4 linked regions of the Mus musculus genome follow. The protein of the gene in region 1 interacts with the protein of each later gene in a pairwise test. Links are inferred from orthologs where the notes say so. Each region holds a gene or a part of one and is shown in the gene's direction. Other genes may lie near its edges.

The links. The genes of interacting proteins can lie anywhere in the genome.
Region 2: the proteins of Rint1 (region 1) and Ribc1 interact in binary tests that used the Homo sapiens proteins (3 or more experiments, as listed by UniProt). The two-hybrid records come from large-scale screens. The link is inferred for Mus musculus from reciprocal best matches to the Homo sapiens genes RINT1 and RIBC1.
Region 3: the proteins of Rint1 (region 1) and Rbm41 interact in binary tests that used the Homo sapiens proteins (3 or more experiments, as listed by UniProt). The two-hybrid records come from large-scale screens. The link is inferred for Mus musculus from reciprocal best matches to the Homo sapiens genes RINT1 and RBM41.
Region 4: the proteins of Rint1 (region 1) and Ccdc121 interact in binary tests that used the Homo sapiens proteins (3 or more experiments, as listed by UniProt). The two-hybrid records come from large-scale screens. The link is inferred for Mus musculus from reciprocal best matches to the Homo sapiens genes RINT1 and CCDC121.

Annotation. Positions count from the first base shown.
Region 1 is NC_000071.6:23,808,211-23,811,710, forward strand, and holds part of Rint1 (RAD50-interacting protein 1), read left to right. Parts: intron 1-1,573; coding exon 1,574-1,684; intron 1,685-1,758; coding exon 1,759-1,984; intron 1,985-2,686; coding exon 2,687-2,824; intron 2,825-3,499; coding exon 3,500-3,500. UniProt on the Homo sapiens protein: Involved in regulation of membrane traffic between the Golgi and the endoplasmic reticulum (ER); the function is proposed to depend on its association in the NRZ complex which is believed to play a role in SNARE assembly at the ER.
Region 2 is NC_000086.7:152,013,496-152,017,503, reverse strand, and holds the start of Ribc1 (RIB43A-like with coiled-coils protein 1), read left to right. Parts: upstream 1-1,208; 5' UTR 1,209-1,341; exon of another isoform or gene 1,342-1,380; intron 1,381-1,635; 5' UTR 1,636-1,723; intron 1,724-3,197; exon of another isoform or gene 3,198-3,502; intron 3,503-4,008. Other genes in the region: Smc1a (structural maintenance of chromosomes protein 1A), read right to left, coding at 864-972.
Region 3 is NC_000086.7:139,995,796-139,999,778, reverse strand, and holds the start of Rbm41 (RNA-binding protein 41), read left to right. Parts: upstream 1-1,183; 5' UTR 1,184-1,271; coding exon 1,272-1,279; intron 1,280-3,032; exon of another isoform or gene 3,033-3,070; coding exon of another isoform or gene 3,071-3,114; intron 3,115-3,983. UniProt on the Homo sapiens protein: May bind RNA.
Region 4 is NC_000067.6:181,509,133-181,512,663, reverse strand, and holds Ccdc121 (coiled-coil domain containing 121), read left to right. Parts: upstream 1-1,212; 5' UTR 1,213-1,278; coding exon 1,279-2,250; 3' UTR 2,251-3,031; downstream 3,032-3,531.

The DNA of each region.
Region 1 (3,500 bases):
TACACAGAGAAACCCTGTCTCGAAAAACCAAAAAAAAAAAAAAAAAAAAATGAAAGAAAGAAAATTCTGCGTTGTGTTGGCTCATTTTGAAAGTGTGATCCTAATGAATTTAGTACACTGTCATGGAGACAGTCATGAGATTAGATGCAGCCCTTGTTTATATCCCCAACATTTAGGACACATGGGGATTTGCCAGTCAGTGCTGGGGATTGAACTGAGGCCTTGCATGTGGGAGGCAAATGCTCTATCCCTGAATTATAGCCCCAGCCTACTATATGGTTTCAAGTTGTCGTCTAGAAAAACTTTTGAAATGCTTGCAGAATCCTCTCTAAAGACAACTTAAAATGCTGTATGTGGGACAGGTGGCATGGCCCAGTAGGTGAAGCCACATACCTCCAAACCTGCCAGCTTGAGTTTGATCCCCAGGACTCACATGGTAGTGGCAAGGGAAAAGTGACTCCCACAGGGTGTCATCTGATTGTGCCCGTACACAGTGGCATTGTACACAGACACAAACATTCAAACATGCGTGCACACAGAGCAAAGTGGAAGAAATGTGAATGCTTTGTGCCTATTTCCTTTAGGAAGTTACACCTATGTTAAGGCTTAGGTATATTTGTAATTAGAGCAGTTGACTCTTTTTCCTTACTTTACCTTTTAAAAAGAGGAAGCAGAAAAGAAATCATGTTTAAAATTATTCGCAGCTCAGTGTAGGCAGAGTGCTTGCTCCGCTCACATGGAGCCCAGGTTGGTCCTCAGCACCACATAAGTCACAGGTGACGGTGCATGCTCGAAACCCTCGCACTAGGGAAGTAGAGAAGAAGACCCAGCGTTCATTACCCTCAGGCACATAGAGACGTTGAGGCTGGCGTGGGCTACCTGAGATCCTATCTCAGAGCCTTCTGTTTTGGAGTGCTATTTCAAAAAACAACGTAAAAGTTTTGGTTGTTTGTAATGCCTCATCATGCTAGGTTTGGAGGGCTTTAAAAAGTTTGGTTTTTGTTTTCTGTGTAGGCCAGGAACAGTCTGTGGGAGTTGGCTTTCTCCCTCCCATGTGGATTCTGGGGATCAAGCTCGGGTTGTCAGGCTTGCTGGCAGGTGCCTTTACCCATCGGCCCACCCTGTGCCGTGGCTTTTGTCTGCTTGTTTAGTTTTGCTCTGGAATCAGGGCTTTGTGTGTGCTGGGCAGATGCTTGTTCTTAAGTGTGAGAGAGACTTTTCTTCATGATTGTTCTTATGCCCTCTCTTCCTCTTTTAGTGATGCTGGGGTTAAAACAGGCTTTGTAGCTAGGCAGATGTTATACCAGCAAGCCACACCTAATCCCAATGTGGTATTTTAAATTATGAGTTTACTGACTTAAGCCGCATTATTGGAATTTGTTGTGGAAGTATATTGGTAAACATTTGATTATGAAGTCTTTTGTGAAATTGAAGTGCGGGATAAGAATTATTTTCTTACATTCAGGAATTTTCAATTAATTTTTGTGTCTGTTTTTAACTAAGTGCATTTAATTAGAATTTCCCATCACCATAGAATACATAAAGAATTGATACCATTTTCCCTTCCCCTTAGCCTGAATGGTACTTGGCTCAGGTACTTATGTGGATTGGAAACCATACACAGTTTCTGGATGAGAAGATTCAGCCAATATTGGACAAAGTGGGCTCTGCAGTAAATGCAAGGGTAAGAGGCTGAGCCTGTGCCTTTCAGCTTCCTTGGAGTTGGGCACAACCCCCATGCCTGTGCCTTTCTTTCAGCTTGAGTTTTCCCGTGGCCTTGTGATGCTCATTCTTGAGAAGCTGGCTTCTGATATCCCCTGCCTGCTCTACGATGACAGCCTCTTCTGTCACCTGGTGGATGAGGTGCTGCTGTTTGAAAGGGAGCTGCACACCGTTCACGGCTATCCCAGCACATTCGCCAGCTGCATGCACATCCTGTCGGAGGAGACCTGTTTCCAGAGATGGCTGACTGTGGAGAGAAAGTGTAAGCGCCCGTATGGCTGTCGAGCGGGAGGGCTCTCTGGATGGTTTTAGTTTGTTTCTGTTGTTGTTTTTTTTGCTTGCTTTTGTTTTTGTTTTTACACAGAGTCTCACTGTGTAGCCTTAGCTGACGTGGAACGCTCTGTATAGACCAAGTTGGCCTCAAACTCATTAAGATCCACTTGCCTTTGCTCTCAAATGCTAGGATTAAGGGGATGGACCACCACTGCCTGGCAATGGCTGGTTTTGGTGTATAAAGTTTCGGAGTTTTGATTTTCTTACAGCTCTGAGTAAGAACTATAGGCGCCTAAATCTTTCCTGGGCAGGATCTACTGAACTACCTTCAAAGACAGTCTTCTTTCCACAAGACTTCTGTTTGTTTTGGGTTCTTTTTGTTTGTTTGTTTTAATTACAGTCTACATGTTGGGATAGCAAACCAGTAGAAGGTAGTGATGTTCTGTAGATTTCTGCCATACACAGTTTCAACTCTTGGTTGGGTATTTTCAGATGTGCCACTTCTAGTCAGCATAACTATTGAGGGAGAATCAGGTATCTTATTTAACTCTGAAGTAGACATTTTAAGTATAGTGTGATTAGTTAGTGGGAGATTAAAAATTTATTTTGTATGAAAAACATAGTTCCTTAAAAAAAAGTGTGAGTTGATAACTGAAGGATGAAATAACTGATCCTTCTTCCTTCGTGTTAGTTGCTCTTCAAAAAATGGACTCAATGCTTTCGTCAGAGGCTGCCTGGGTATCCCAGTATAAAGACATCTCTGATGTGGATGAAATGAAGGTTCCAGACTGTGCGGAAGTCTTTATGACCCTGCTTTTGGTTATAACTGGTAAGCCCTGGCCTTTTAACATACAATGCTAATTTAGAATTAATTTTTAAAGCTGGGCATGGGGGTACACACTTGTAATCCTAGCTTGTGAGGCAGAAGCAGGAGAATTGAACTCAAGGCCAGTCTCAGCTCTAAAGCAAGTTTGAAGTCAGCCTGGGATATATGAGACCCTGTCTCAGAAAACCAAAACAAACGAACAAACAACAAAAGTAATGCAGTGCATGGAACAGGAGAGATTGCTCAGCAGGTACGGGCACTTGTTGCTCTTACAGAAGACCTAGTCAGCTCCCATTTATAACCTGTTGTGACTCCAGCCCTGGGTATCCAGTGATCTCTTGGCCTCCTCAGGCACCTGGCATGCATGTACATCAAAATAAACCTTAAACAATAGTATGTTTCACATGTACCTATTTTTTTTAGTAGTTAACAAACACTGGTATAGTAACTTAATGTTGTTTCTACACTAGTAGAAATCTGTGGCAGTAGCCTCACTTTTGATTGAGCCAGGTGTGGTAACACTCACCTTTAATCCCAGCACTCTGGAAGTCCTGAGATGTTATACATGTGTAATTTCTTAAGAGTTTGATCATAAAGGCAGTAAAGCCGGGCTTTAGGGAAAACCAGCTGTCATGGAGAGTACCAGGTTCATTCATGTATTGTTCACTCTCTCCGCAGA
Region 2 (4,008 bases), on another chromosome or scaffold:
TATGAAAAAGTAGGGTTACTATCAAAGTCACTCTAACTTATCAGCCTAACCCCTTTTCTACAAAACATTTATAATGGCCTAAGTGTTATCTTATTTTGTACTTTGCTTCTCCTTTCCCGCGATCTCGGATTTGCTCTCCCCGCATAAACTTAACTGATAAAACCCCAAACCCTCCACCAATTTGGCAAGCGAACAAGTTCAGGCTTATTTACGGTTTTCTGGTAGGAAAAAGGCAAATCAAAGCAACAATCTCTTAGGCGTGTGGGGGGCATGCGGAGGGGTGGGGGGCATCGCAATCCCACGCTGCTGAGCGGAACGCTGGGTCAGAAATTCAAAAGTGCCACAGCAGAGAGGGGGGGGGGGAAAGGAATCAGAGTGGAGCGTTCCATCGGGAGGTGCGGGTGCGGGGAGGGCTGAGTAGAGCACAAAGTACACAGCTTGGGATCGGACGCCAAAGCAGAGTTACGGTTCCCAAATTTTCCCAGAGGTGTCAAACAAGTTTAGGAAGGTGGAACAATGCAGACCGGAAGGAAGCCGCGGGCCAAACAACTGGCAGCAAATTTCGGGAACGCCTCTTTTGGCGGGAGGGGTAGTGGGCGGGGCGACGCACGGTTCGGCCCATACCATTCGGGCCAGAGGGGGTCTGCGCCGAACTCCGCCAACTGACAGTTGGGAAGAGACTCGAGTTCAGTGTATGCCAAAAGGGAAAGCAAGTTCAGATCCAAGCCCCACCAAGAGGATCAAGGAACATTTCAGGGTTCACAATGTCTCGGGTTGCATGGGGGTAGGTTGTACTACTTTGCAGACAAGCAGGGGGAACCGGACCGGGACGCGCGCAGGGCCACAGCCGGTTTTAATCTCACCAGAGCCATTGGGTCCAATGATGGCGGTAAACCTCTGAAATGGTCCGATAATCTGTCGACCCTTGTACGATTTAAAGTTCTCGATCTCAATCAGTTTCAGGAAACCCATGACAGCGGCGCTGGCGTAGGAAAGGCCGCGCCTTACTCCTGGGAACGAGGTTAGCCCGCGCGGGAAATAGCGCAGTGCAAGCCGGGTGTACAGTAAGCCTCGCGATAATAAGTCCAAGCCAATCACGATTTCCTGTTTCCGGGGCCAGAAATGGTCACTTCCGCCTGAAATAGCGCTTTTGTTGAATTGTTGCCCGGCTGGAGCACGCGCTGGGCGCTCAGGCCCCGCCCCTCTACGTAGTTACCCAGCAACTGTTGAAGTGGCCGCCAACTAGGACGGGAAGCGTTAGTGCTCTGATCACTTCGGGGGAAATCAGAGCAAGCAGGCGGGGTCTGAGCCCACGCTTGCTGGGAAAGAAGTCACTTCAAGGTTCTGCCAGAGCTAGTGGGAGGCAGAAGCTCGGCTGGGGTTTGTAGTCTAGCCAGCAAGGGGGGAGACGGGGAGAAGCGCTTCAGCCAAGGATTCAGTCGGGAATGGGAAGGCGCCCTCGGAAGGGTGGGCAGTTTGGGATGGAAGAGGGATCAAAGGGAGGACTTAGATGAGGCGAGCTTAGAGTGTGAGGACGATGAGAGTATCTCTTAGACAACAGAGATACAAGTTGGGAAAGGCTGTGTTCTGAAATACTGCCCCTATCGTCTGCTTCTCTCTTATTTCTCCAAGCAGAATTTAAAGACTGCCGTTGTAAATCCAAGAGTCAACTTGGGTCCAATCCATTTTCGAGCTTCAAAACTGGAATTCTGTACTGAGAAAGGTATCTTGTGTGAACACTAGGAGTCCAGGTCCTTAAGCCAGTGCTCCAGCTCTGTCCTTTTCCCTCCCTGTTAAATCAAGTTTCCCCCATTTCCACCACTTCCCCTCTGTCTCTTTCCCTCCCCCTTTCTCTCCTCTCTCCCTCCCTTTCTCTTTCTCTCTCCTCTCTCCCTTCCTCTCCCCCTCCCCTCTCTCTCCTCTCCTTCCCTCTCCCTCTCTCCTCCCTCCCTCTCTCGCTCCAACTCTGTCCTTTTCCCTCCATTACATCAAGTTTCCCCCATTTCCACCTCTTCACCTCTCTCTCTCCCTCCCTCTTTCTCTCCCTCTCCCCCCTCTCTCTCCCCTCCTTCCCTCTCCCTCCCTCTTTTTCTCCTCTCTCCCCCCTCTCTTCCTCTCTCCTCTCTCTCCTTTATACCCTGTCCTTCTCCAATTCTTTTCCATCCCCTTTTTCTTCATTCTTTCATTCCCCTTCTATCACCTTATAGTCATGATCTTAGCAGCCCAGGATGTCTACTGAATCATCCCCCTATTGTGACAACAGATTGTCTTTATAGGCCGGGGTTAGTGCCATTTTCAGTTAGATATGGAAAGAGTCTGGTGGTTTCCACAGCTATTCCTGGGTATCTTCTTTTATTTTTTCAAAAGTTTCTCCATCTAGCTCTGACTGTCCTGGAACTCTGTAGACCAGGCTGGCCTCGAACTCAGAGATCCACCTGCTGGGATCAAAAGTGTGTGCCACCACTGCCCGGCTTTGTAACTGTGTGCAAGTGCAAGCGTGATCAAATGTGTGCACAAGCCACAGACATTAGGCATCAGATCCCTTGGAGCTGGAGTTACAGGTAGTTGTGAACCACCTAACACGAGTACTCAAAGAACTCTGAAAGAACTGGAAGTATTCTTAACCACCATGCCATCTCTCTAGTCCTATTCCTGTAACTATTTTTAAATAATGTCTAAAAGCTGGGAAGAATCCTAAAGAGTCTAGGAAGGTGAGAAAGCTCAGTTGATAGAATCTGATATGAAGCTCTTTTGGGAAACCAGTCACAGGCAACATGAGGGAATAAAATCATCAGAGGCTTGAAATCTCACATACATTTTTAAAAGTTACTATTTAATTTTCAAAGATTAAATGTAGCTTGGGAGAAAATTAAATTGGAGCCCTATCTCTAAATATATACAAAATCCAGTTTCAAATGGATTCAAAACAAATGATAAAGGCAAAACTTTAGGAATTGTGGAATATATAGGAGAGTATCTTTATAAATTTAGAATATGGAGAGGTTGTTTGTTTTACTGTTTGTTGTAGTTTGGTTGATTTGGTTTTCTTCTTTTTTGGGGGGGGGGAGCAGGGTCTCTGCATTGTCCTAACTGTCCTGGAACTCACTTTGTAGACCAGACTGGCCTCAAACTCAAGAGATTCACCTGCCTCTGCCTCCCAAGTGCTGGGATTAAAGGCGTGTGCCACCACACCTGGCCAGTTTTTTATTTTTATTTTATACTTTCATATATGTACCAATGAATATGGGTCATATCCACCCTCATATCAACATCTGTCCTCTAAAGCCCCATCGTATCCCACACATTTTTGTGATTCAGAGTCCAATTGGTCCTACCCACATGTGCATAGTATGCACCTGCAAGAAAATTGACAATTCCTTGGCAGGTATCAACTTCTAATAGCTCTTCAACTGGAAAGGAGCCTCGTCCATCCATGCTGGAAGGTTCACTGGCTTGCTCTTTTACCGGTCTTGTACAGGTCTCTTGCAGGTGACCACAGCTGCTGTGAATTCACAAGTGCATGGCTCTGTCATATCTAAAAGGCAGCATTTCCCAGTACTGCCCTCCATCCTCCAGCTCTTTCCATTCTGTCCAGTCCTTGTAGCATAACGGCCCCTGAACTTTGGAGTAGTGGTGATACACACACATCTCATTTAGGGCTAGGCACTCATTCTAGTCACTTATTCTCAACAGTTTGAGCGTTGTGAGTTTCTGCATAAACTTATCTAGAGAAAAAAGAAGCTCCTTGGAGAGCAGCACTAAACTATGAATATAAATACAGATATTTAGAAGGCAGGTTGACAGAAATGACCATTTAGAAAAACAGTACTAGTAGGTTCTCCCCCTAGGGCCTATGACCTGCCCAGACATGGACGTTTGACCAGATTTATAGTAGCAGGCATGAATTCCCTTTTGTGGACCAGAACCAGGTCTCAAATCTAATCAGAGTGGTTGGTTACACCCTATAATAGTCATGCCATTACTACACCAGTGGGCACATCTTACCTG
Region 3 (3,983 bases), on another chromosome or scaffold:
AATAAAAACTATACTTTATTTATATGTACTTAGTTTTTACCGTGTGTCCTCTGTCTATTTCAAGATCCTACAATACATTTAGAAATCATATTTCTCTTGTTTCCTCATAAATGTGCAGAGTCTCAGAATTTTCTACTTACCTTTTATAGTTTGGAGGCATGGTAGTAGTCCTTCTTTGTTTTATATTTTTGTTTTGTTTTGGTTTTGTTTTTAGTTTTTTTCTTTCTTTCTTTTTTTTTTTTTTTTTGAGAATATGTAGACCTGGCTTGCTTTGAGCTATGTAATTAAATGAGCTTTGTAGCTTGAAATTTCCATCTTATAAATTAATACATTTTCATAACTTTAGAGATACTTGCTTTTCCATTTTGGGCCATTAAGAACACATACTTTTATTGTTTTTGTTATTCATGCTGTTGCTATTGTTGAAATTGGGTCTCGTGTAGTCCAGCCTGCCTTTGAACTTCCCGAACAAGTATTCCACTCCCAGTTTGTGTGGTGTTGAGGATCCCACAGGGGGCTTTGTGCATGCATGTCAAGCCAGCACGTTACAGATTCAGCTACATCCCTAAACCCGGGAACTAATGCTTTTAAACACTTTTCTATACGAAGCTTTTTAAAAATAAGCTATGCTCTGCATCGGAGTTTTTTGCCTGCATGTACGTGTGTGCTTGGTGTCCCAAAAACAAGTCAGATGCTCAGAACTGGAGTTATCGACAATTGTGAACTGCTGTATGGGAACTGAACTCCGGTTCAGTACCATATCTGACTCTGGCTTCGATATATTTTTATAAAATATTCAAAAGTCTGGGTACGTACTGCTTCTGACTTTAAACTAAGGGAACCCAGAAGGATCTGTTACAACTAAGAGAGAAGCATTAGTGCATACAATGTGGTTAGACCAGAGGCTTGAGGGGAAACAGCAGGCAGGTCAGATAAATCCTTAAAAGAGAAGCCTTGCTGACAAGAATGAAGACGGTGATTAGGAACAATATAGGATTTATTGATACTTAGAGAAAAATCCAAGAAGCCAAAGGTGAATCCTAGGCTTATGAGCTTTATATTTTGGATGTTATCTTTAACCTGGGCCAAAAATTCTTAATTTCCAATAAACCCATCACCCAATACCCGCTTTCTCTTTCCATCATCACATTACTACACTTCCCAGAGTTCCACGCTCCAACCTTCATCACCTTTGAGTCTGCCGCACAGATTGCTGGGAGTTGAGGTCTCCTTCCTATTTACCCAAGTTAGTGATAGGGGCCTGCGGAAACATGAAGAGGTAAGGTCATATCCGGGTTGCTGAAGGCAACTTTTATCTTTTACTATGAAACTTTTGTGTCTTTTTTTTTTTTTTCCCTTTTGTTTGGGATGTGTCACGTTCTTGAGGGGCGGTTTTTCTCCAGCGGGAAGACAAAGGAGAAAGGAGGAGGGAAGGCCGGCAGGCTGGACCAGTCTGCGGGGGTGAAGTTCTGGAAGGGCCGTAGCCAGGCGGGTTTCCACTGGAATGTTTCCCTCAGGGCAGAAGCGTCTGGAGCTGCCTGGCCTCTCACATTCCTGACTCTCCGGATGCTCACGCCAGCCACTCCCTGGCCCGCCCGCTGGTCCTGCTAGGTCTCACCGGCCAGAGGGTCAGAGGGTGGGCACTTTACTTTGTCTAGATTTTAAAGACATAATGGGCCCGCCACACCGGGTAGTGCTTTGAGATCTTCAAGTTACAGGGTGATAGTTTGCATCTCCAAATTGAGCGCAGATCTGGCTTCGGGTGCTTTGGAAGAAGAAAGGAAACTTAGGGCAGTTTCCCCTCCTGATTCTGCAGTAAATGGCCCTTTGAGCCTGGTGCGGACCTCCCTGAGGCCGGAGCTTCCCAGTTATTGACAGGACAGGAAACCTTAAGAAAAAGGAGCCACTTAGTTTTGGCTTCACACTGCCATTGAATCTTCGCACTGGAACAGTGGCACAAAGAACCTGTTTAGGAATGCTTTCTCCTGAATTGTTTTTAAAAGGTTTTTGTTGTTGTTTGTTTCATTTGTTGTCTTGTTTTCATGTTTCCTCTGCTTGAATTATTTTAATTATTCTGTGATGAGATTCCTCATACATGGAAAGTGAATCTAGTGTATTGCTTGGGTGATTATAAAGAGCTGTTTGCTATACAGGTTAAGAGGTAGGACATGATTCACATAAGTGCCTTAGAAGCCCCCTTGGCTCTCAGATTGCTTCTTCCCCTTTTATCTAGGAGTTTGCACCAATTACAATTATTCCTTTGCCTTTTGTTTGTTTGTTTTTGTTTTGTTTTCTTGGGTTTTTTTAAGACAAGGTTTCTCTGTGTAGCCCTGGCTGTCCTGGAACTCATTCTGTAGACCAGACTGGCCTCGAACTCAGAAATCCGCTTGCCTCTGCCTCCTAGGTCCTGGGATTAAAGGTGTGAGCCACCACAGCCCAGCTGTTTGTTCCTGTTTTGTTTTTTGTTTTTTAGTTCATTTTCCACATAAGAGTTTAATCCCTGAACAAAATATTCCTAGTATCATCTGTGCTTTAACCTTATATAAATGAGAGTATATTGTCTTTTTCTGTGATAAGCTTTTTTTAAAAACCCACAGTATTTCTCAATAGAGCCATGTGTGTTGATATGCTTATTCATGTTTAACAGATTAAATTTAGCAGTAACTTTTGGGATTGTAAATAAAGATAGACTTAAAAGGTTTTTAAAAACTTAGTTCTAGAGTTATTTTAGAATATTTCAATATGGGTCCAGCTCTTTCTAGGAATCTTATAATTACAGGGATTTTTTTGTACTTATTATAAACCCCAGTAGACAAGGTCTGTTTGGTAAGAAATTCGATATTTAGTTTTCTCATGGATTTAACTCATCTTTGTGTTTGTTCATGTGTCTCTACCCTGTTCTCATATGGTTACATGGTTGTGTTATTTCTTGGGACGTGAGTAAGAGTTCTTAATCACTTGAGGTTGGCTCACAGCCCTGATCCAGTTGTCTACCCCACAAGACGCTCTTCATACTTTCTGCCCTTCTTCAGAATTTCTTCTCTAGTGGCTTCAGATCTTATGACCTCACATGGCTTCAGCTTCCTCTGTGTTGAGCCTCAGACTGTCCTCCCGGTAAGAACTGTAGCCAGTCAACGTTTGTTGTTGCTTCAGACCAGTGCCTTGGAAGTGCACTTCATGGGAGGATTTCAGAGTTGGAAGGGCTGCTCACCTCAGTGTAGGTTGTAGTGACACTGACCTTCCATGTATCCCAGCTGGAACCATTTTCCTTCCTTCATACCCACATTCTGTGAAGCTGTGCCAACAGCTCGAAATTGAGTGTTTGCATTTATGTGCCTGTCTGTTTTACTTTTTTAACATCATTCACCTAAAGGCTTTTCCCACTGAATCCTTCCTTTGTATTTCTGCTAGTTCTACCCTAGTCTGCACCTTCATTGCCACATACCTCAATAGTTTCCTAACTAGTTGCTCTAGTTCTATCTTCTAATCCACATGGTCTTAAACACTGCTTACTCTTTGACACCTAGTGGACTGATAAATTGCTTCCTAATCCGTGTATGCTCAGGTCTGGTCCAGAATCCCTTACTTCGTGTATTTAAGGCTGTTCAAAGCGAGTATCTAAATAGAGGTTCCAGGTATCCCACAATTCGTGGTCTGTCTCTTTGTATTTGCTTTCCTTTACTTTGTCACATCCAATCTTTCCCGTACCAGTTTAAGAATACTATTCTGAAGTTATCTTTACCACTTTAGCTCCCAGGTTAGCCCTTTCTTCTGCAAACTTCTACTCATTTGAGCATGGTTCTCTATTATTATTTAGATTCCCTCTCTTTATAGACACAGGTACACAGCACAAGAGGATATACATCTTCTCCCTAAATATATTACAAATTCCTTGATCAAAACTATGCCTAGAATATCTTTAATTTCCACAAGTAGTATCTTAGTTAACTTTTCTACTGCTGTGAAAAGACAACATGACCAAC
Region 4 (3,531 bases), on another chromosome or scaffold:
TCATGGGGACAGTGATTATAGAAGCCCCGTGGTTTCATATCTTCAAGGCATCCGGCACAGGCTGAGTTCCAGCTTGGGGCCATGGGGTGAGGGGAGCTGTGGTGTGAGGGGATATGACCGCTGTGTTTGTCAAACTCTGATGGCAAGAATCATTGCATTAACCCCAGATCCCTCTTTCCTCTCCAAAACACCCAAATCAGAATCTCAAGGGAGCAGTCTGGGAAACCATCACTGGAAGAATCCTTGGGCAGTTAGGGAATCACTCTCTGGGAGAGTATAACAGTCTTGCCAAGGGAGCCAAAGGGGTCGGGGGTCAGGGGTCAGGGGTCAGGGGGCCCGACAGATCCAACTACCTATAGTCCTGGACGAAGATGTTACTTCTTAGAGCTTCCACATCCTTTCATGAACTCTAAGAGATCTTATCTGTATTCAAGGATTGAGACACTGAACAGCATACAGAAGACTCTGCAGTCGCCCTTAACTTTGGCCCCACTAGGAACTGGGTCTGCAGAAAGAGCCCCCGACACCCTGATGTAGACTATACACACCAAGAGAAGGCAGAAGACATGGACATTCCATGCACAGTCGATTGCCAGAGGCTGGGTAGGCCTTTTAGCCACCTTAGCATCTGAAGGACCCCCACTTAGGCTCAGAGCTTTCTGAGGATTGGACAGAGGGTTTCTTTGTGAGTGGGGAGAAGGCAATTAGCGGGTAGTCCTTAAAACTGCAGTCATATATCCACAGAAACCAATTCTCTGGACTCTTACCCCTGGTTCAGAAATCTTGAGTGATGATTGTCCTAAATCACCTTAGATGTTCTATATGGACTTTACTGGTGCTGGGTCATCGGTGCTCATACAGGCCTGGCCTAAAACCCCTCTCAGCTTCAGCCACCTCATGCACTGCGTGGTGAGGCCCGGACTTGGAATCCAGGCTGAGTATGTTGACAAACTCTAAAAGTCAAGCAGGTCTGTTTTCTCTACCCTCCTCGTTATGAAGGGAGGACATATGCTGTTCTGACACCTGTCTGGACTTCCTGGCACTGGTTTGGACAACAAACAGTGTGACTGTTTAACAAAAAGGAAAGAGAGTCAGAAAAGCCCTGGACAGCCTCTGACCTGCTCTGACTTCCTGGCAGGCTGAGTGTCGCTTGGTCGCCTTGACCACCAGAGGGAGAAACCTTGGGAACATTTGCTCAGGACTCTGTGCCCTGAAACAACAAACCACCATCCCATGCTCTCTTGCAGTCACTCTCCTTGACCTGGGGATTCAAGGAGTATGCTTGCCCAGAGCCCTGGAGATGCACCCCCGCCAACACCACACCTTACTATTCTAAATACATATCTCAAGCCAAAGTTGCTAACGAGCTTGGAGAAACGGGTAAAAAGGAAGACAGTGGTGGCGATGAAGGAGCTGAGCCAGCAAATCCAAGAAACCAAATGCCGGCGGGAAAGGCTGCTGAAGGACAGCAGGCAGCTACTAGAGGAAAAATACCGTGTGCAGGCTGAAAACCAGCTTTTCATGGAATACCTGCGTAAAAATAAGGAACAGTGTGAGAAGAAACAGGAGGAGCTGTGGAAGCAGTACGTCCAAGAATGTGGCGAGATAGAACGCGAGAGACAAGAATTGGCATCCAGATACAACCAGAGAAACGCAGCTCTTCAAGCCCAGCTCCTGCAGGGCAGAAAGACCCAGAAGGATTTGAAGCAGCAGTTGCAGGCACTGAAGCCAGTTTACAAGATAAAGGAGGGCCAGGACGTGAAAATACAGACCTTGGAGAAGGAGCAAGAGAAAGTCCGAAGTGAGACTGCGACCAAGGACCGGGAGGCGCACTTCCAGTTCCTGCGGGAAAAGGCACTGATGGAGAAGGAGCTGCAAGAGTGGCATCTGATGGAGCTGGGGCAGATCAACACCACGGGGCTTACGAGGAAGTACAAGGCCTTGGCGCTAGCAGCCAAGCAGGCTCATTCTGAGTTCTGTGGCAGTCTCCACAGGGAGAACCAGCAGCTACGCAAGGAGCTTCAGCAACTGAGCCAGGAGTACGGCAGGTTGGATGCTGTGAGGAGCCAGCTGGAAAAGCACCGGCAGCTGGCGAAGGAGCAGCAGTGGTACCTAGAAGCCTTGACCAGAGGGCGGCAGCGGCTGCAGGCAGAACGCGAGCGCCATCATCGTGGTCATAACCCACGCCTCAAGGAACAGAGAGCTTCAAAGACCATGCTGAGCACCAAATCAAAAGCAAGTTCAAAGTAACAGCTACTGCAACTGAATTGAGGCGCAGGGAATAATCTACAAGCCAAAAAGTATCCTTCGTGGAAAATAGAAACACACTTTCAGGAAGGGCAGTTGTTGCAGCATGGGGTCGTGCTCCTTGTCTGGGACCCACATCCTCACTGTCTGTGTCCCTGGGGCTGTTGTAGATTCCGGAGATTTAGAACACTTGGAAAACTTTTTAACGGGTTATACCACCCATTTTTATAGTAGCATTTGAAATTCTCAGAGTACCTAGTTAAGACATGTATTTTACCACACTTTTTTTTTCTTAATGTGTACTCTGCAGTCCACAAAGTATAGTGTATAGCTTACATGTTCTATGTATTTTGGGCCATTTGAAGCAAATAAGAATCTTATTTTAAATTGTAGGGGTTTGTTGGTTTAGAAGGGTTTCAGGTTTGCATTTGTGATGAACTGTTTTTGTTGAACTGTGGGCTCTGGTCTGGAAGAATAGCCTTGTTTTTGGGTCATGCCCCTGCATGGGGAAAAACATAGCCAGCTTCATGTTTCTCAGAAATTTTTGGCAATGAAAACTTCAAGGTAACTGTTTAGCTTTATTTATGTGTAAAACAGTTAAAAAAAAACAACAGGATTAAAGGGTAACTTAGCTTGTCAATGTGCCTTATCATCTACTTTTAACATTGTTGGCGAATATATATACTTTGCCATTAAACAGGGTTGTTAAAAACAAAATTTAACTGTAATTAGTTCTTAATGCTCCCCAGATTTATTAATGTAATAAAAATACTATATCCCTCAATATTTTATGGTATTATTGCCACCCCTTTGAAATGACAGAACATGCATGTGATGATGTACACCTGGTAAATAATGTAAGCATCCTGACTTGGGGTCAGGCCACTATGTCACTGGCTAACAGGTGGGTAGTGTATACAGCATGGACGCACTGGGCAAGGATGATTTGTGACCCTTATGTGATGCCAGCATGGTACAAGGTCTCACAACACTACTCAGACACACAAAATATATGAATTGCATTCTTCCAGAATTTTCCATTTTGTTTTGGACTGAAACTGAACACAGACAACTGAAAGGTAGAAAGGGACGCCGTGTGTCAGGGGAATTGTCACAGTGCCAATCCAGTCCCCCCATCTCCACTGCCACCCCTGCCTACTGTTTGTAAAGGAGAGTCCACAGACCAAAGGCTGTTATCTTTAAAGCATTCTTACACTTCATTCTTTTCTCATGGAATAAGTATTATAAGCTCACCTTGAGCTTCGAGGCCAACTTCAGATCTTT